2 linked regions of the Mus musculus genome follow. The protein of the gene in region 1 interacts with the protein of each later gene in a biochemical or structural test. Links are inferred from orthologs where the notes say so. Each region holds a gene or a part of one and is shown on either strand. Other genes may lie near its edges. The genes, in order: Nub1 and Ubd.

The links.
Region 2: the proteins of Nub1 (region 1) and Ubd form a complex in vitro, tested with the Homo sapiens proteins (6 studies listed by BioGRID, with this or other methods). The link is inferred for Mus musculus from reciprocal best matches to the Homo sapiens genes NUB1 and UBD.

What each region holds. Positions count from the first base shown.
Region 1 is NC_000071.6:24,684,010-24,694,679, forward strand, and holds the start of Nub1 (NEDD8 ultimate buster 1), read left to right. Parts: upstream 1-1,805; 5' UTR 1,806-1,942; coding exon of another isoform or gene 1,943-2,013; intron 2,014-5,370; 5' UTR 5,371-5,383; coding exon of another isoform or gene 5,384-5,384; coding exon 5,385-5,501; intron 5,502-8,797; coding exon 8,798-8,965; intron 8,966-10,670. UniProt on the Homo sapiens protein: Specific down-regulator of the NEDD8 conjugation system. Recruits NEDD8, UBD, and their conjugates to the proteasome for degradation. Isoform 1 promotes the degradation of NEDD8 more efficiently than isoform 2.
Region 2 is NC_000083.6:37,189,704-37,200,734, forward strand, and holds Ubd (ubiquitin D), read left to right. Parts: upstream 1-4,188; 5' UTR 4,189-4,248; coding exon 4,249-4,269; intron 4,270-5,542; coding exon 5,543-6,010; 3' UTR 6,011-6,398; downstream 6,399-11,031. Other genes in the region: Olfr94 (olfactory receptor 94), read right to left, coding at 7,103-8,263. UniProt on the Homo sapiens protein: Ubiquitin-like protein modifier which can be covalently attached to target proteins and subsequently leads to their degradation by the 26S proteasome, in a NUB1-dependent manner.

The sequences.
Region 1 (10,670 bases):
CCTGAGCCACAACTACTCAGCTTTTTTTTTTTAATATTTATTTACTTATTATATGTAAGTACACTGTAGCTGTCTTCAGACATTCCAAAAGAGAGCAACAGATTTCGTTACAGATGGTTGTGAGCTGCCATGTGGTTGCTGGGATTTGAACTCAGGACCTTTGGAAGAGCAGTCGGCACTCTTAACCACTGAGCCATCTCACCAGCCCAACTTTCTTTATTTTTTCTTTTCTTTTATTTATTTTTTATTTTTTTAAATTTATTTATTTATTTATTTTTGTTTTTCGAGACAGGGTTTCTCTGTTCCTGGAACCCACTTTGTAGATCAGGCTGGCCTCGAACTCAGAAATCGGCCTGCCTCTGCCTCTAGAGTGCTGGGATTAAAGGCGTGCGCCACCACGCCTGGCAGTTTTTTGTTTCTTTGTTTCTTTGTTTTTTGAGACAGGGTTTCTCTATATAGTCGTGATTGTGCTGGAACTAATCAATTTCCTTAGAGTGGAAACAGTTATCTACAGATACAGTTTTCTTGGGTTTACAGTCACTTTCTTTTGTTTGGTTCTGAAAGCTTTGTCAGTTTGGAGGGCATAACAAACAACTTGCAAATCTGATCCTTATCATAATAACAATTTGTTTAGTTCCTGATTCACAGTGAGGCCAGGCATTTTTGGACTGACTAAGCAGGCCTGCTCTGGGTTCTCCAGTACGTGTGTGGGAAGCGGGTGTTGAATGATGGATCTAGCTTCACTGGCAGGCTGGCAATTGGCAAACTCCTCGCTGGGGTTCCTGGTTGCTTAGGCTCCTGCAGGCTTGCTCAGGCCTCCTCTCACAGTCTGCAGCAAGATGGGGCTCAACACCAGAGCATTGTTTCTTTTCTCATAGTATTTAAAAAAAAAAAGGCCTTTTTTTTTTTTTTTTTTTTTGGTTTTTGGTTTTTGGTCTTTTTGAGACAGGGTTTCTCTGTTTAGCCCTGGCTTTCCGGAACTCACTCTGTAGACCAGGCTGGCCTCGAGCTCAGAAATCCCCCGCCTCTGCCTTCCAAGTGCTGGAATTAAAGGCGTGCGCCACCACTGCCCGGCGTCTTCATTTTTTTATGCCCGTTTGGATTGTTCCCTTACATAGACATAAGGGCACATGCATTTTTCACAGCGCTGAGCAAAGCAGATGTCTCTATCTACTGTACTCATGGTGGGAGTAGCCGCTGGAGGGAGGCATGGGTAGCGTACCTAACTTCACCATGAGCGGGGATCCTGGTGGGATTGTGGAGGGTAGTGTGAGAATCCTTTAGTCTAGGGGATCCCCTAGGCCTAGTAGAGGGAAGACGAGAAAAGGTTCAGGAAAACAGGTCTTGCTCTGTCAAGGCTTTTGGGGAATAAATAAAGGCAGACTCATTTTCCTCTGACTCTGAAAAACTCGGTCTGGGAGTGGTCCGAAGACCTCGTGATTGAAGACTAGCATTGCCTCACTTCCATTCCTCACCACGCCTCTTCCCCCTGCACAGCAGACCCCCTCCCACCGCTTTTGACCAGTTTTAGCCTTGCCTTTCCACCTAACAGCTCCACCTACAGTCGGCCCTTGCCTCCATCTTCCTCCTCGCCCGGTCCCACATCCGCTCCACCGCAAACTACCAGCCCCGCCCACAGATCGCCTGACCCTCAGCGCGGCCCTCGCCCCAACCACTTTGTCTCTCTTCCCCCTTACACGTCAGCCCCGCCCTAGCTACACTCTCCCTATTTCCATCTACTCTGTTGTCCCGCCCCATATCAGCCCCGCCCATTAAATACTAGCCCCGCCCACAGCCGCGTTTTCAGGGCTTCCTTCCGTTCGATGCTTCAGATCGCCCTTCAAGCCCCTTGGCCCCACCCTTCCATGCAGCTCCGGTCCTCGACCGGCCTTCCGGACAGCGCGAGGGGGCGGAGCCGGGGGCGGGGCCGGCCTCACCCGGAATGAAAACAAACGGCGGCCTTTGCCGCATCCGGGCACTCGGCAGGTCGCAGCTGGCTCGGCAGTGGCGCAGGTGAGACGGCTGCGGCAGCGACCGGGCCTTGGGCCTGGGCCTGGTAGCGCGGCCGGGGCGGCCGTGGGCTCGGTGGGCAGGAGCGGCCAGGCGGACGCGGCGAGGCGGGCTGGGGCGGAAGCGGGAGGGGGTCGCGGCGGGGCGGAGGGGAAGGGATGGACACCAGCCAGCAGCTTGAGTTTGGATGAGCTGACTGCCGGGGCTGACAGCGGAACGCGGGGTGTGAGAACGCAAGCTTTCTGGACCCACACTTGTCCTCGCCTCCTTCCCTTGCTTTTAAATAGGAGGCCCTAATGGCATGTCATTTCCCCGAGAGGGAACGTGTTGAATGTGCGTAAGGTTGTATGCAATCTCGATTGATCTACAAGTGAAAGTGGTATTTTCAACATTGATGCCTAAGGTTTCACTTTCGGTTCAGAGCGCTGATCTTGATGATTTACGTGTTTTCTGCGTTGGAACGCCCAGCAACACACATGAAACAGTTCTCCAATTAAAATTGAAAACTGGGCTGTTAGATTTTCTTCCTTTTGACCTAACACATGTCATTCTGGTACCTGTAACTGGATTTTCATAGGTTTGAATACAGTGGTTTAATTTAATTAATTAATTTTTTTGAGATGGTGACTCACTATGTAGCTCTGGTTGTCCTGGAATTCGCTAAAGGCGAGCAAAACTATAATCAAGCCGGTGGTTTAATTTTGTTCAACATTAAATCTTTATGTTAATCTGGGCATGGCATACCTTTAGCCCCAGCATTTAGGAGGCAGAGATGATCAGGTGATCTCTGTGAGTTCAAGTCCAGCCTGGTCTACATAGTAAGTTCCAGGACAGAGCTGAGTAGTGAGACTCTGTCATGGTTTTAAAAAAAACAAAACAAAAACAAAAAAACTTAGTCGGGCGTGGTGGCGCACGCCTTTAATCCCAGCACTTGGAAGGCAGAGGCGGGGGATTTCCGAGTTCGAGGCCAGCCTGGTCTACAAAGTGAGTTCCAGGACAGCCAGGGCTATACAGAGAAACCCTGTCTCAAAAAACCTAAATAAATAAATAAATAAATATTACGTGATGCAGACCTAGCAACAGTGTGGAGCACAGATGAAGGGTTGTGATAGCCTTGGCTTCTTTTATCAGACAGTGGACTGGGTACAGTCTGAAAGGCTGTTTTCAACCTTCTGAATAGCTGGGTACTAGTAAATTATCCCTGCCACCTCCTTAGGAGATGGCAGTAATCTTTTTCTCAGTTTCTAAACTGGGCGTGCTGGCACACGCCTTTAATCCCAGCACTCCGGAGGCAGAGGCAGATGGATTTCCGAGTTCAAGGCCAGCCTGGTCTACAGAATGAGTTCCAGGACAGCCAGGGCTACACAGAGAAACCCTGTCTCGAAAAATTAAAAAAAAAATTTTTTTTCTATAGATTTGAGTCCTGTGTCTGGAGGTTTAATAGACTTGTATTTGTAAGGCTCCTAAGTGCCTTGTGGTGAGCTTGTGAGTAAAAACACACAGCATGTTCATTCTCTCTCTCTCTCCCTCCCTCTGTCTCTCTCTTTCCCTCTCGCCCTGTCTGACATGCATACACACAATGTTTACTCCATGGGCTATCCTGATGACCTGTTTCTCGATCTCAGATCTGAGCACCCTTTTGAAAGCATGGTTATGGAATAATGCTTAAGTCACCACAGTTGGCTTGAAGATCAGGTGGATTCTGTTTAGAAGGCTGAAACTTAAGTTATTAATTCACATATTTTCCATTCTCTGGAATTCATGTTCACCAATGAGGAGTGAGCAGCTTCCTATTTGGTTTGATTTGGCAAGCCTTGAAACACTTGACTACCAGCTGCCCCAGGCTCTCAGTGGCCTCCCCCACCCTGTGGAAGCTATGTCACACCTCCTGTGTAAGAAAGGGGAAGTGCTGAGGACAAGAAGCACAGGATTGTGAGACAAGCTAGAGTCCATGTCGTAGGCAGTTGTCTCATGCCAGTTCTGGCCTGGGCTCATTTTGTGGTTTTATAAACCTGGGCCTGGGGTTTTCCAGCAGCAAAGTGATTTAGCCTCAACATCAATCTAGTGAGATGTGCTATTGTGCTCTCAGAAGTACCAGCGAAAACAAAACCAAGAAACAAGTTATAAAGACAAACAAATCTCAAACTAAACAAAGCAACAAAGACTGAAATGGTGCAGTGCTGTAAATTCTTTCATTTTATTTATTTATTTTTTTAATTAATTATTTTTTTCCGAGACAGTGTTTCTCTGTGTAGACCTGGCTGTCCTGGAACTCACTCTGTAGACCAGGCTGGCCTTCAACTCAGAAATCCGCCTGCCTCTGCCTCCCGAGTGCTGGGATTAAAGGCATGCATCACCACATAAATTCTTTTATTGATTGCCTGACTGATTTTTGACAGGCTGGCCTGGACCTCAGAGATCTACCTGTCTGCCCTCCAACAGCTTGGGGTAGAGGTGTGCATCACCACACCTCGCTAACTGTCCTTCAGAGTTGAACTGTATGAGCATTTAGTACTGATAGGTCAGAGTTCAGATGTGCTCCTCTTGTGCTGAATCATAGGCTTTGAGTTAAAGTGGCCAAGTGTGAGAGAATTTACAAAGTACAGATTGGGTTACTAAAGGGTTTGTCTTGTCTTTCTTATGTGTATGGGTATTCTGCCTGTATGTATGTATGTATGTGTATATGTGTGTTTGTGTGTGTGTGTGTGTGTGTGTGTGTGTGTGTGTGTGTGCGTGCGTGTATGTATGTAGACCAGAAGAGGGCCTTGGATGCCTCTGGAACTGAAGTTACAGATGATTGTGAATTGCCATGGGGGTATTTGGTACCAAACTGACTTCTTTCTGGCAGTATAGCCAGTGCTCTAACCATTGAGATGTCTGGCCAGCCTCTTTCCTTGTCTTTCTGAGAATAACAGGGTAAGAAGTGGAGAGGTGAGGCTGGGCTGCGTAGAACAGGACCCAGCACTCATAGTGCAGAATGCCCTGGTTTGCTCCCTTCTAACACAAACAGGACAGCATGCTATTCCTTGCTACATATTAGCAGTTGGAAGTGGGCATGGTACACTGGGGCTGGTTATAGGTGCTTTTAGTCCCAGTACTCAAGCGAGCAAAGGAACACAGATCTCTGTTCTAGGCCAGCCTGGTCTACAGAGCGAGTTCCAACACAGCCATGGCTGTACAGAGAAACCCTGTCCTAAAAAACAGACACAAAGGAACAATAAAAATCTACTGCCTTGCATATAATTGGATATAATAGCTCAGGTTAAGCTGACTGAGGTGCGGAGGGGAACACTAACTACTTAGTGGATTAGTAATGTGTAAAGCATTTTAAAATGTGATGTGGCTTTTATTGATTTACAGTTTTACTTTCAAGGATGGCGCAGAAGAAATATCTTCAAGCAAAACTGACTCAGTTTCTAAGGGAAGACAGAATTCAACTTTGGAAACCTCCATATACTAAAGAAAATAAGGAAGTTGGTTTGGCCGTAAAGGTATTTTGCAGTGTCAAAGCCTACTTAGTAAATACTCTTCTGAAGTCACCAGAAAGGACTAGGCACAGCTGTGAAGTTTGGAGACACACCAGAGCCATTATAATGAACAATTTTCTACTTAATTTTCAGCAGCAGAGGCAGAGCCCAGGGTTTCATATAGGTTGTGTATGCAAGCTCCCTGCTACCAAGCCACTCCCCACAAGCTGGCGTTTCATTTTTATGTTACCTGATCTCCCAGGCATTGTGTTAGTCCTCTTAACTATAACACAGTAGCTTGGTTTATGTTTCCTGAAGTTCCTCAAGCTTGAGTGGTCCTGAAGCCTTGGGACTTTGTCTGGGGTGGCACATTGTGACAAGCCTCAGGGCAAAGATGATAACTGAGGCTGGGACAGGCAGTCCTGTACGGGCTGATTCCTAGTGAGAGCAGATGTGGCTGTGAGACCACATACACACACACACACAGAGAGGTGTGGCTGTGAGACCAACCTTGGTTCAGTGGCTTGTGCTCCTCTCTTTTCTGAAAAAAAGATTTATGTGAGGTGTGGAGGCAGCAGCAGCCTCAGAGCCCTGTGACTCACCTAAGCAGGTGTGAATCAACTCCTGCCTCAGGCACACCACCCAACCACATGGCTCAGGGCGGCCCCAGTGGTGAAGGAAGACACTCTTTTCCTAAACCAGGAAGCTGAAAGGGATGATGTGTCCCTGAAGGCCTTATCCTTAGGAACCTCCCACCATGCAGAGCTGCCAGCGCCCTGCACATTACTCCTTTAACACAGCCTTTGGAAGACAGGCAAACCTGGACACTGATGTGCTGGGGTTTTTGTTTGTTTTTTTGAGACAGGGTTTCTCTGTGTAGCCCTGGCTGTCCTGGAACTCACTTTGTAGACCAGGCTGACCTCAAACTCAAATCCGCCTGCCTCTGCCTCTCCAGTGCTGGGATTAAAGGTGTGTGCCACCACTATCCGGCAATTCTTATGGTTTTATTAGTTTTTTTTTTCTAAACCTAACAGTATAATTATCCACTGCCCGGTTGGATGTGCTATTTTTAAAGTCATTTGAACTTGCTTGCTATGGTGTCTTAGCTTGAACTAATGAGACATTATAAATAAGACTCTAGTCTTAATCTCCAGTTCCTGGCAGATCGAACAGTCTTGGATCTTACATCCTAATGAGGCTTGGAGGCCCTAATAGTTTTAGGGGAAAAGTAGCTGCCAGAAGGAGGAAGCCTTGATTAGAAGCTGCATGCTTTCCATCCCACCCTCTAGGGGTCTGAGGTTGCTGCTGCCTCCACACTACTTGAGTGTAGATTGTTGCCTATGCGGAGGTGAGGGCAGGTGAAAGATAAGGCTAGAGCCTGTGATTGGGCAGTGGAAAAAGAAGGCGGGCGAAGAGATGGGACAGGGAGAGTGGATGGAACCTCTAGGAGAGTAAGATGAAGTGTATCCAAATGGCTGGAAATAGCCATAGGTAGCTATGGAGATCATAGGAGAACAATAGAATAATATAGGGTACTTTGTCCGATCTAGGTGTGCAGCTTGTATCTATATCAGTTGAGTTTTGAGTTCTTTGTGTGGGTGTTTTGTGGGTGAGAATTCTGACTGATAAATTACAAGCCTCTGGAGTTTTCTTTATATAGGGCTCAGGGTTTAGAGCAGGTCGTGATAGACTAGCTGCAGGGGATGGATGACTGGGAATGCGAACACCTTTGGGAAACTAGGTGGACTGTGGTTTGAGGATAGCCATGGGGGTATGGAGACCACCACAGCCGAAGAGTAGCCAGCAGTACTGTAGATTGATTTTTAATACTTACACACTACGCTTCAGAGTAAACTCTTTCAGAAAAGTCAGAGGAGCACAAGCTAACAGAACCAAGGCTGGTTTTGTAGCCATGTGCTCGCATGAAGCAGTATGTGTGTGCTGTGCTGATACTGTGTCCTGTGCTTGACAGAACGGGCATCATAGTAGACTTGTTCACACCAACATCTCCCAGACATGCAACATGGACATTACAATGGTCTCTTCTAGGTCTAGAGAGAAGGTTCAGCAGTTAAAGGTTTGCTGAGGATCACAGTTGAGCTCCCAGCAGCCATATGGGGTGACTCACAACTGCTTGTAACTTCAGCTCCAGGGATCTGCTGCCTTCTAGAAGGTCTCCACAGGAGCCCTCACACCTCAAGACAAGGTTTCTCTGTGTAGCCCTGGCTGTCCTGGAACTAACTCTGTAGACCATGCTGGCCTTGAACTCAGAAATCCGCCTGCCTCTGCCTCTCAAGTGCTGGGATTAAAGGCGTGTTCCACCACTGCCCGACTAAAACAAGCCCTTTTAAAAGTGGCTCTTATGCACTGTATATTATGAGAACACTGGCTTATGTTTGGTCTGTCACTGAAAGAAAAACAAACCATAGGGCTGGAGAGTTGGCTTGGTGGTTAAGAGCACTTGTTCTTACAAAGGACCCAGGTTCAATTCTCAGTACCCACAAGTAGGCTTACCACCTCCTTGGGCATTGGGCACATGTGTGGTTCACAGATGTACATGAAAACAAAACACTCACATATACAAAATAACAAAATAATCCTAAAATAAAATAAAAAACAGCCAGGTGGTGGTGGTGCACGCCTTTAATCCTACCGCTTGGGGAGGCAGAGGCAGGTGGATGTCTGAGTTCGAGGCCAGCATGGTCTACAAAGTGAGTTCCAGGACAGCCAGGGCTATACAGAGAAACCCTGTCTCAAAAAACAAAAAACAAAACAAAAAAATCAAAGATGCTCTTAGCCTCTGAGCCATCTCTTCAGCCTCCACAACTGAAAAATAAAAGTGTGTGTGTATGTCACACTTGTGCAGGTTAGAATTCAATTATAGGACTTGGTTCTCTCCCACTACCTTGTAGGGCCCAGAGATTGACCTCAAGGTGTCAGGCTTGGCCACAAGTGCCTTTACTTGCTGAGCTGTCATTGTCACAGCCCTAAGTTCATTGCTTCCTAAAGTAATTTCTTAGTCTATTAAGGTCACAGACTTCTCAGTCCTCCCTTCCACCTCTCTGGAATAGTCCCAGTTACTCTCACTCTGACCAGCAAACCTATTTTTACTGTTTATAAGTGTTTTAAATTTCTCCCTGAATCCTCCCTGAGAGCCCAGATTGAGTTTCAGTACAGTGGGGGCATCTGCTAGTAAGAATTAACGTTGCTTTGGGAACTAGCTATCTATATATATTTATATTTATACACACACGCACACATGCAGTTTTCTTGTGTGTGCACTGGATCTCCCCTGACCTGTTTCTGGTTTCTCCTCATAGGACCTTGCTAAGAAGTACTCTGAGCGGCTGGAGTGCTGTGAAAACGAAGTGGAAAACATAATCGAGGAAATCCGACGCAAAGCAATTGAGCGCGGCACTGGGAATGAACACTACCGAACAACTGGGATCGCCACCATTGAGGTGTTCCTGCCTCCAAGGCTCCGGAAGGTGAGTAACTTTGGGACTGCCTTGCTGTGCTCAGATGAGCTGTGGTTGTGCTGTTGGTTTGCTTGGTTTGGCTTTTTGAGACAGGATCTTTTTGTGTTGGGTGGTCCTGTCTGTCCTGTATGTAGACCAGATTGCTGCCTCTGCTAGGATTAAAGACACATGCCCAGGGCTGGTGAGATGGCTCAGTGGGTAAGAGCACCCGACTGCTCTTCCGAAGGTCTGAAGTTCAAATCCCAGCAACCACATGGTGGCTCACAACCATCCAGAATGAAATCTGACTCCCTCTTCTGGAGTGTCTGACGACAGCTACAGTGTACTTACATATAATAATAAAAAAAAAATAAATCTTAAAAAAAAAAAAAGACACATGCTCAGCAAACTGTTTTTTGTAAACGTGCTTAAGGAACTCCATGTGTTGAATGGTTGCTGATATAAACTTATCTTCACACATTTAAGGTAGGCTTGTTCATGTCTGGCCTTCAAAGCATGGGCCACAGAAGTGAGGCATGATAGTGTATGTTGTCATTTCAGCCCTTGGGAGCCAGGGCCTCCCTGTAGTTTAAAGTTGTCTTCAGTGAATTCAAGGTCAGCTCATGAGACCCTCTCTTTTGGAAAGCAAAACAGAAACAATGTCACATGAGCCAGGAGATGACTTAGCAGATGAAGGCTCTTTTCATCCAGACCAGTGACCAGGGTTTACTACAGAAAAGCCAAGTTCGAGGAGGGAGAGTTGGCTGGAGAAATGACCCAGTCAGTGCAGACATGAAGACTCTGGAGTCCCTGTAAAAAGCCCTGCAACCCCAGCACTGGCTGGTACAGCATCACAGAGATGTGTATGAAGCTCTGAAGTTCACTGGCCAGCAGAATCAATGCGAGACTATTATAACATGAAAATGTGGAAAATAATCAAGACAGGACACCTGTCATCAAGCATGTGTGTGCTTGCTTACACACCCACACTAGCAAGTACAACCACCACACACCAGATGTTGTAAGAATAAACTGACAGGTGAGCCTTCACCACAGGCTAAGGTAGACACAGCCCAACTTGTGTCAGTGACTGTGTGGATGAGCAGAGCATCCACGCCACAGAAGATGACTGGTGTGACAGATATTCGACATTAATTGTCTGTAATAGGAGAGGACCTCAAAAACATGCAGAAAGGACCGATGCTGTATGTTTCTGCTCATGTGCAGTGTCCAAAACAGACAACTCCAGAGACAGGAAATAATGGTTGCAAGGCTGGAGAAAAGAGGAATGGGGTGCTGGACATGGTGCCTTGTGAGGGGTGATGAGATGGGAGGGAGGGTTCAGAAATTCCATTAAACATTTTCTTCTCTTAAGATTTTATTTTTGCTGGGTGGTGGTGGTGCAGACCTTTAACCCAGGAGGCTGCAGCAGGGAGATCTCTGAGTCTGAGGAAATGGGTGCTAAGAAGAAAGCTCGGGTCCTTTATAAAAGGAGTATAGACACATCCACTGAGCCATCTCCATTCAATTATGATGGTGGCTGGCATGTGACAAATCCCACTGAGCAGCCATAGGACAATCAGGTCACCCTGTTGGTTTGTGCTGGACCATGTTCAGCATGCTTCTCCGTTCAGACAGTGTTTTGGTCCTTAAGTAGAACACTGTGCTTGCATCCTGACAGCACCTTACAACTTCATGCAGGGCAACAGTTCAAAGGAGTGTCACACACAAGCCT
Region 2 (11,031 bases), on another chromosome or scaffold:
GGCAGAGCTCCATGTGCTCAGGAAAATGGAGGGATTGTAGTGATGAAGCTAGACCTGCTGACTTGCGGTGACACAGCTCTGTAGTCTCGGCTGACAAAATCATTCCTAACAAAAGTCCTATCTAGGAATTGGAACCTGGTAACGTGCTCTCCTGGTAGCTCTGGTCAAGGGTCCTTGCTACCTGTGACTCCAAATGCTGGCACAGTCATGGACAAGGAAGGACAAAGGATGAAAATAGCGTGTAGCTTTAAGCAACACTTTAACATCTGCTCTCCCTCTGGCAGGAACAAAAATACTCAAAGAGATATTTATCCCTCCTTTTAGCGACCAGACTATTGAAACCCAAATTTGAATTTCCCCAGGAATCTCATTCTGGGAAAAGGGAAAGACTGGATCCTGATGCCCCACCCCCACCCCCGATTGTGGAGAGGAGAGCTTGTCTTCTGGAAAGAGATTGCACACAGTTCTGACAACCTGCCAGGCTACCATGTAGGATGGACTATAACCAGACTACCATGTAGGGTGGACTATAACCTAGGTAATGATAATGGAAAGTACCACATGTTGGCTAAGACTTCTTGTCATGAGTTTGCCTAGCTTGTTATAGGCAGGGACCTGAAGATGAACTTGAGGAACCTCCCTAGAAACTCTCTTTCTTTTTTTTTCTCTCTCTCAAAGATTTATTGTATGTATGTATGCATGTATGTATGTATGCATGTATGTATGTATGTGTCTTCAGACACACCAGAAGAGGACATCAGATCCCATTATAGATGGCTGTGAGTCACCATGTGGTTGCTGAGAATTGGACTCAGTCAATCAATTCTCAGTCAGTGCTCTTAACCTCTGAGCCATTTCTCCAGCCCCCAGTTTCTCTTTCTTGTGATGACCCCTTTGAATACATCTCCTTTCTCTGCTTGTCACCGTTACTTGTTTATTGGCATGTGGAGGACAGGAGTGGCCAAGCCTAGGTTGTTAGGGCTGCACAGCCCAGGCTCTGGCCCAAACAATTCTGAACAAATGTATAAGAAAATAGTGACTGCAGATAGGAATTAGAATGTGAAGGGAGCTTGTTGCAGACCAGGTTTGGCAGCTTATCTGGTCTCTTCTGCCAGGTTCTCCCTGATGCCTCACTGCAAGGTGGTTTTCTATTCACCTTCAATCTGAGATGATGTTTTCTGCTGGAGACTGATGATGCTTCAGAATTCCAAGTTCCTATTGGACAATGGTGGCAACTAAAGGTCAGAAGCTGGAATGTTAATCCTTGAGAACAGGGAGCTGGAGAAAGCTGACAGAACAGCGAAGCCAGTGGCATCCAGAATATTCTACAAGGGACTTTTCCCTTCGTGCTATGAGTTTAAAAAAGTATATTACTCTACCATATACACTAATAATTTTAGTTTAGCTAATGACTGTCTAATAAGAGCTTCAAATGCAATTTTCATTAGGATATTGAAATATTCAAGCAACCTTTTTTTTTTTTTTTTTTTTTTTTTTTTTTCAAATTGCAAGAGGATTTTTATTCAAGAGCGCTCTCGGGCCCATGGTCATACACCACGCAGGGGTAGAGGACCGTGGCGCCCCGAGTAGCTGGGTAAGGGGGTATTTAAAGAAACCGAAACTTAAGGAAGTGGGGAGGGCGTTGTTGGAAGATACCAAAGATACCAGTTAAGAGTCACAAGGAAGTGTAAAGTTACAAGAGTCACAAGGAATACCTGGTAATTGTTAACTCTCAAGACAGCTTCTAAGAGCCTCTAACAATAGCACATTTGCATTGCAGGTTCTGGTAATGGCCAGGGTGACTTTCTTTGAATGAGCACTCTTTGAACCCAGGAAGCGGGTGGGTAGAGGAATGTTGCTCTCTTTTTTGATTAGCATACCTTTACAAAGGCCACATTCCCAAGCCTGGGCCTAAAGGCCTAGAATTCTGTTTTTACGTTGTTATACTTTCATTCCCCCCTTCTACTTGTTAGTAGTTCTAATCTTAGAACTAGACACTATTTTTTTCCTGACATACTTGATCCTTTACTTTAGGGCATGGTACTGTTGTCTTAAAACTAAAAGCCACATTGCACTCATTTCTGTTTTAATAAAGGTGACTTGCCTATTTAACACACATGGACCTATAATTAAAAGCAGAAGCAAAATCAAAAGAGGTCCCATAAAGGTAGAAAGTAGGGTCGTCAAGAGTACAAGATAAGGGCCTTTCCACCGGAGTCTTAAGGTTTTCTGTGTGGAGACGTCTAATGTAGCAGGTCTTCTTCTCTTGAGTAGGCCTTCTGGAGCTGCTTTTTCGCTCCTGTCTCACTCACTGGAGCACCTTGAGCCTAGAGAACAAAGGCTGGGAAAGCAGCATGTCAGCACCATGTACAAAGGCTATTTTTACCAGTGGAGGGGGCCCCCTGTAGAGTAATTTATAGGGGGGTCAGTCTAAACTGTCCAGGGGTGTTTTTATCCCTGAAGAGCATAAAGGGTAGGAGAGCTATCTAATCATAGCGCCAGTCTCCGCTGTCAATTTGGTAAGGATCCCTTAATGGTTTTATTAATTTTTTTACCTGTCCTGAGCTTTGGGGCCTGCATGCACAATGTAACTTTTAACCAATCTCTAATATCTTGGCCAGTCTCTGATTTACCTGGGCAACAAAGGCAGGTCCATTACCTTGGGAAGATTTCTTTTAGAAATTCTACCTCATTATAGCACAGGCCTTGAATCAAGCAACCTTTTTGATTGTCTTATTCAGCACAGGTACTCTGTAAGCCAAATTCTTCAGAATGGAACCCCCTAAAATAAAATGACACAGTTTAAGGTGTTATTAAAGGGGGGAGTGAACATTGGGGTCCCATTCCTAAGAAGTTTCTGCAATTGATACTGCCCAGTGAAGAGAAATATCAGCTTTCTCCAATGGAGTCTCATTAGGTAAATTAATCATACTTTAGGGCAGGCTACATAACCAGAAGTAGCTGGCCCACTACTGACTGATGGTATATTTTGTAGACTTTTTGCTTTGTTTGGAGGTTTTTGTTTTCTTTGTTTTGTCTCATGGTCTTTATGGTCTTTTGCTTATTTGTTTTTACATTTTTGAATGTGTGTGTGTGTGTGTGTGTGTTTGAGAGACAGAGAAAGAACGTAAAGTTGGGCGGGTAGGGAGGTGAGAAGGAAGATTTGGGAGGAATTGGGGGAGGGGAAAACATGATCAAAAAAAGAAAAAAAGGTTTTTCAGTGGATGAGTACATAGCCACTTCAAGTACAGAAAACAAGAGGAATAATTTGGAAAATTTACAGAGTTCTTTGGGGGGGGGGGAGAACCCCTGAAGCTGTTTAATAAACAATTTTGAAAATTAGTTTCATGGAGTGTCCTACCTCAGAAGCCAATGTCAAACTTGGAATATTAGGAGTATCAGGTTTCTTGAGGAGACAGCTCAGTCACAATCTTGGTCTCATTCAACCAACTTTCAACAGTGAGGGAATAGCACCATCACATGTCTCTGGCCTCAGGGAGAGGAGGCATCTGAGAGCCAAGGGGGTGGGGGTGGGAATCCAGGAACTGTGGTGCACATATGGAGAAAGGTAGGAGTCAGAATTTAACTGTTGATTTTGGATTGTTCTCAAGTAGTATGTTTGGTTTGCAGATTCTGAGTCAGGTTGGGAAATGTATTAGAGGTTCAAGAACCAAGAATCCAAAGTAAGTGTGTGTGTGTTTGTATGTGTGTGTGTTTAAAGACTTTATAAGCAAGGTTCTATATGCTGGGGAGACACCAGGAATGGCCTTCTATGTTAACCTATATTAAAAGAGGGGAACATATTTTTACAACATAATGTATGTAGCAAGCGGTACCCTACCCCAGGACACCAAGTCACAGCTGCAGTCCAGGCTCATTTAGGCAGTGAGGGAGGGTAAGCAAGCATCACAAATTATCAAGCTAGCTAGTGGAAGATTAGTAGTAGCTGGGCAGAACTAAGGCAGGATTGGGAGAAGGTAGGGGGATTTTCAGCCTGGGCAAAATTCCTATCTTAGAATGACTATTCTATGCACAGAACTAGGAATACAGATAGATTGGCTAAGGGGAGAAATCTGTGTACAAACAGTGTCCATTATGAACTCTACCCCAGCAAAAGTGAAAGGAATTATTGAGAACAAAGGTTGCTGCTAAACTGGACAACACATTGAACTTGGGGATTTCCAACCCAGCTACTCACATATAAGCAGACACAAGGACTCTTTTCTTATTCAGCCTCTGACTACAGACATGGCTTCTGTCCGCACCTGTGTAAGTTGGGGTTTGGTAAACGAATGGGAAGGAAAAGTATTTCCATGTATTGGGGGTACAGTTCCACAACTTGGGAGGGGACAGTGGTCTAGAAGGTGAGGCAGTTGGGTGAGAAACATTTAGGAGAAAAGGCAGACATTGATAACTGCACAATAGGAAGAGGGTACTCTGAAGAGAGGTTGGTCATTTGACTTATTAAACTTTTAAAATATTTTATTTATTATATGTGTGCATGTATATGGTGGGTCAGAGCCAGAAGATAACCTTCAGGAGTCAGTTCTCTCTCTTCACCACATAGGTTCTAGGGATCAAGCTTAAAGGTGAGGCTTGGCAGCAAGAGATTTTATTGACTGACTGATTGATTGATTGATTTACTTATTTGTTATTTATTTAAACAGCTGAGCCATTTTTGCCATCCCCACTTAGGAGAAATGGTAGGACACTTTGCTTCATGAGGCTGGCAAGATGTGAAATTAGGAAAATAACTTACAGAGTTCTCAGCCTTAAGCGTCTCTCTCTTTTCAAAGGAAAACTTCATAAAACTTGTTTTTCTTGTTATTGGTGACATAACTAACACATTACCTTAAACAGGTTATGCTCCAATGTAAAGAATGTGCAATTAGGGCAATGTCCAATACAAGACAAAACTGAAGAAGAATATGGAATATCTAGGTTGGGAAGGTTCCTTGAATGGAGTATGAGGAAGTTTTCATAAAGTTTACAGGCCTGATTCTTCCCTAACTTAATTCTTCAGTAAATGAAGTTAAACTCAGATATAGTTTTTGTCTTCTGTGAATGGGATCCTGGTCTAATTTAAAAAGGATATTATGTTCTATATCAATGGATATAAAATACAAGAGATACACATTAACACCATTAAGCACAGCATCACCACAACATGGACATTACCAGAAATGGACGGGAACATTAATAAGAACGCAGCAGTGTAGAGACTATGTCTTAACTAGGGTTCTTTCTGAATTAGTCACAGAGGGTGAGTCATGGCTGAGAGCATTCTGTGAGGCTGCCAAATCTTGGAAATCCTCTTTGGGTTTGCTTAGGGATCTGTATACAACGTTTGAAGCCCTATAGTTTCACGAAGCCGATGTTCTGATTTGGGTTATGATGTAGGAATCAAAAGTTGCAAGAGAGGGAGAGATGCAGACTGTTGAGAAGGAGCCAGAGGGCCAACCAGGAGAACAGTGAAGCTGAGGAGTAGGGGGTAGAGGGTGGCAGGCGTTCTTAGATGACGCTCTTGGCTTTCTTTGCCTAGGTTGTCCGTTCAGACCAATGGCGGTTAATGACCTTTGAGACCACTGAGAATGACAAAGTGAAGAAGATAAATGAACATATTAGGTCCCAAACCAAGGTCTCTGTACAGGACCAGATCCTTCTGCTAGACTCCAAAATCCTCAAGCCCCATCGAAAATTGTCATCCTATGGGATTGACAAGGAAACCACTATCCACCTTACCCTGAAGGTGGTGAAGCCCAGTGATGAAGAGCTGCCCTTGTTTCTGGTGGAGTCCAAAAACGAGGGGCAAAGGCACCTCCTCCGAGTTCGAAGATCCAGCTCAGTGGCCCAGGTGAAAGAGATGATCGAGAGTGTGACCTCTGTGATCCCTAAGAAGCAGGTTGTGAATTGCAACGGAAAGAAGCTGGAAGATGGAAAGATCATGGCTGACTACAACATCAAGAGTGGCAGTTTGCTCTTTCTGACAACACACTGCACTGGGGGATGACCACGGGGATGCGGTGATGAGAAGCTCAAAGCCGATTTCCTCTGAGCTATTACCAATCACATCTCTTGATGATATAAAAAATTAACGAGAATGAAATAAATATTTGAGGGAAGTGGAGTAGATTAAAAGTATTTGTCAAGTCTGTGAATCTTGTTTCTAACATAGTTCATTCGCAGGGTTGTTGATGAGGGCAAAAGCTGAACCTTTAGTCAGGTGTGGTGGTGCAAACTTAATTCCAGGACTTGGGATGCAGGGGAAGGTGGATCAATGAATGATTGTTGAACCAAATTGAATTTTAATTATAGAGTATAGAGAAAGAATGTGTTATGGAATATGATTGTTTACCATAACTGGATCATAGTCTAATAAATTATTTAAATTCAGTCATCATCTTCTTAAAGATATTTGGTATGAAATAAAACCTAACACCCTCTCCACGTGTCGGGTGGGCAAGGAAGGGGAAGAGCCTTATCCTATCCGGCAGATGGGAGTCCCAGTTTAACCAGGGCCAGCACAATTGCCTATTATTTGCAGACATTCTTTGACGTTCTGTAGTGGGCATGGTGACCTGGCTAGGTTTGCATTAGCTGGACTGGCTCCCCAAGAATGGAAACCATGTCTTGTTTCTGGAAGAGATCTCTGTAAGGTGGGGCCCATAACTTCTTTGTTAACCCGAGAGAGACTCCACCTGATGGGCGAGGTCATGGAATTTTTTAAGGTCTTTTGTAAGCCTGGAGAAAAAAATAAAGGTCAGCACCAGGGTGCTCATCATCTTATCTCCAGGTGGATTCTTCAGGGCTGGTACAAAGTCTCCTCAGAGTGCATCTGACCCCCTCCTGCATCCTGCTTCCCTCCTTACTGAGAGTCCCAAGAGCCATTTACCACATCACCATTTAAGAGTGTTTATATATTTCAGGAGTCCCCTCTCCGCACCCCGCAAGAATTCAAACCCTACCCGGTGAGAGAAAAGAATCTCGCTACTAACCCAGAACTCACGGAGCACAAAACTTGCAGATCCTTATGCACAGACAAAAATTATGAGCATCCTATTTCCAGGACTCTGAGCCCTTCTCAGTTTTTTCACTGTCCCACCTATGGCCTCCCCAGACTCCGCAAGAGCCTCAGTGCCGCCCCCTTCACTTCCTTGTTCCTCAGTGTGTAGATGAGAGGATTGAGAGCGGGAGTGACCACCGTGTAGAAGAGCGAGACGAATTTGCCACGGCCCTGGTTGTAACTATGCGTGGGTTGCAGGTAGGTGTAGGTGGCAGAGCCATAAAATAGGCAGACCGCGGTCAAGTGAGAGCCACATGTGCTCGCCGCTTTCCGCCAGCCAGAGCTGGAGTGCATGCCCCAGACCGCGCGGCCCACGGCGATGTAGGAGGCCAGGATGACCGCCGAAGGCACCAACAGGATGACCACACGCGCGGCGAACATCTGGCGCTCGGTGGCGCTGCGGCCGCCGCGGCAGGCCAGCTGCAGCAGCGCCGGCAACTCGCAGATGAAATGGTCCAGACAGCGGGGTGCGCACAGGGGACGCGCGGCCAGCAGGGCGGTCTGCGCCGCGGAGTTGGCCAGGCCACCGAGCCAGGAGACTCCGGCCAGCGTGCGGCACAGTAGCGGCGAGGCCAGTGAGGTGTAGCGCAGAGGGTTGCATACCGCAGCCGCGCGGTCCAGCGCCATGACGGCCAGCAGCACGCACTCGGCGGAGCCCAGCGCCAGCGATGAGCACAGCTGAGCCATGCACCCAGCGCGCGGTAGCTGCAGCATTGAGCCGCGCAGGCTGGCCAGCAGCGGTGGCACCACACTAGTGGTGAAACCCACATCCACCAGAGCCAAGTGGCAAAGGAAGTAGTACATGGGTGTGTGCAGGCGAGGGTCGCGAATGGCCAGCAGCACCAACGCCGCGTTGCCGGTGAGCGTTAGTAGGTAGCAGAGAAGGACCAGTGCGAAGAGGACAGGCTGCAGAGAGGGCCAGTCGCTGAAACCCAGCAGTAGGAAGCGCTCCGCTGAGCTGTGGTTAGCCTGAGGGGGAAAACTCCAAGAAGGTTCGGAAGGCGAGACAAAAATATTTAATGCTAGACAGTGTTGCGGGCCTTGCGCTGGGAGGCAAAGGCCAGAAATTTCTGTGAGTTCGAGGCCAGCCAGAGCTACATAGTAAAACCCTGTCTTACCGCTAACCACAACAAACAAGAACCTCCAATATGGGATAAACTCGGCACATGCCCAAGTTTTGGTTTTGTTACATAGCCACATCCCAGTATTCCTTTACAAGTCCTTCAAGGGGGATAGAAACTGTGCTTAACAGGTGAGCCAATTAGACACAACTTACAAGATCAAATTGTCCTAAGTCTATCGCTAGCTAACCAGGTCTGTGTTCCTGGTTCTGGTTGCCCTTCCAGGGATTAAGGAAGAAATTCAGCATTCCTCCTAAGGGCAGCTATAAAGATACTTTGTATAAGAAGGGCATACTCCACTCTGAGCACCCCGCCCCCAGTTTTCCTTAAAAGTGGGCGTTGTCTAAGAGTTAAGCCTGAGTGAGACTAGATGGAGCAGTATCATCCACTTTTCTGTTTATGCAACAGTTAAAGCCAAGTGCGCTCTGATAGGAGGAGCCAAGAAATATCTAGCTATAGTTTCCACTGGACTACACCAAATATGGTAACTGTAGCCAATCAAATATTTTTGTCCTTAGTCTCCTTTCCTTCCTCTCTGCCTCCGTTGTCTCTGCCTGTCTTGAGGTTTCTTTCCTTCTCTCCCTGCCTGCTTCTCTCTCTCCCGCCCTCCCTTCTTTCCAGTAGGGCCTCATGAAGCCCAGGTTGGCCTTCAGTTCTACTTGAGAGGCAGAGGATGGCCTTTGAACTCCTGATCCTCTTGTGTCAACCTCCAGAGAGCTAGGATTATAATCATGAGCTACAGTGTCCAGCATCCACCCAAATGTTTCTTTGTTTTACTTCTGTGTTCATCCTATCAAAATGTTCCCTATGTTTCCCGGCTGTGGCCCACTGAACCACTTTTGCCTGATTCAGAAATAGCTATTTGCTCAAATAAACCCGTTTAAAGTTTATTGTGCCTCGCCCCCCCCCCCCTTGGGCTGGGGATTGAATCTGGGACCTTGCACATGCTAAGCATGCTCAGACTGAGCTATGCTCCTACTCTGTGAGTTTGTTTTTAACATGTTATACTGGAATACTTCCTATCAGACCAGAAATGAGGAGCCCTCAGGCCTCAAACTGTACTCAGCTAAAACAACAGTGTCTGGTTGGTTATTTGAGATGTAGAAATCATTTCATATCATTCTCCTTCAAGTTTGTCATGTGTAAATGGTGGTGGAATTTGACTTCTTGGGTCTATCATGGGCTTTCCTGTCAACTGTTTCTCAAACAAATTTAAAAGAAATGCAAGAAACAAAAAGGACCTCGATTTCAAGGCTCTAGGTATTGATACTGAATTCAACAATCTGGGGGATACAGAAATTATCATGGTTGATAGAATAGATAAAACTTGCACAAGAGTCTTTCTATGCATGCTTTATGACAGATATCACATATATAACTTGTGAACACACTTAGTGCTTTTAATTTAAAAAGAACCACAGCCCTCTGGCCTGGCAAGATGTCTTACCAAGTAGAGGCCCTTGCTGCCTGATGGCCTGAGTTTCAACTCTGGGATCCATATAGTGGAAGAGAACTGACTCCTTCAAGTTGTCCTCTGACCTTCACACGTATGATGTGGCACGCACCCCCACCCCCAATCGATCAATCACAAGCTTTTTAGTTTTTTTCAGGAAGTAATCCGTCTCCCAATACAACACCTTGCTTATCCTCACCAGGCAGAGAAAGTTTCAATGTGAATAAGAACTTAAGGCTCCTTAGATTTGAGTCTTGATTCTGCTACTTTCTAGATGATACCCATGAGCATGTACCTAACCCCTCTGTGCCCCTATTCGTCCCATGGAAACATAAGTTGGTAACAAGAGTTAAATACACAGAGTGCTTTGAACAGTGCCTGGCACACAGTAGGTGAGTGTTAACTGTTATCACCCCTATTTATAAGCTAGCATATACAGTTTTGTTTTCATTATTTGATACTTTTTAGTGTTGGAAATTGAACCCAGGGCCTTTGTGCATTGTGCATATATATATCTCCCTACTGGTCACACACTGAATCATATCCCTGGCCTGGGAAATTGTTTTGTTTGTCAAGACAGAGTCTTATTATTATGTATTATTCTAAGCTGGCCTCGAACTCAGAATTGTCCTACTTTGGCCACCTGAGAGCTGAGACTACTGTGTGTGTGTGTGTGTGTGTGTGTGTGTGTGTGTGTTCCTGAACCACTCAAGCTCTAGGACATGAGGGGTAACAGACTTGAAGTGCAGATCTTCTTTCCTATCATGTATTAAATTTAATATTTCCTTGATTGGAAATCAGGCATCAAAATTAAATGTGTCCACCGTCACATTGTTTATGAATGATAGAAGATTTTGACTTAAACCTGATTAACTCCAAGGTCTTGGCTGAGTTCACAGGTTCTATTATGCCAGATTATGGACGATAAAGGGACATGAAAAGCTTCATCTTTATTTCTAGACAACTTCATAGCATTGGAACATGAATGAAATTTAAGACATGGCAATAAACTGTGAAGTAGTAGTGGCTGGCTGGAGTTGTTGAATTACAAAAAGTCAAACTCTTCAGTGTTGGGATTGCATAACCGTATGTCAGCACAGCTAGGCAAGTCCTAAAACATTTGCCTTCAGGGATGAATAAAACGGGTACACACTTATAAAACTCCACAGACAATGTCTTTTTCTTATGTACAAATCCCCAAGAACACAGTTCTAACGCACACCCACATCACTGAGTTTTCAGAAGACAAAATATGTTATCAATTCAATAATGCGTCTTAAAACCTCCCCTGATCTTTGAGAACACACCCTGAGCTGCAAAATCATTTATTCTTAGGGGAATGTAGCAAACTTACCTTCATGTTTAACCTCTGGTCCCCATTTTCAGACTTGAGT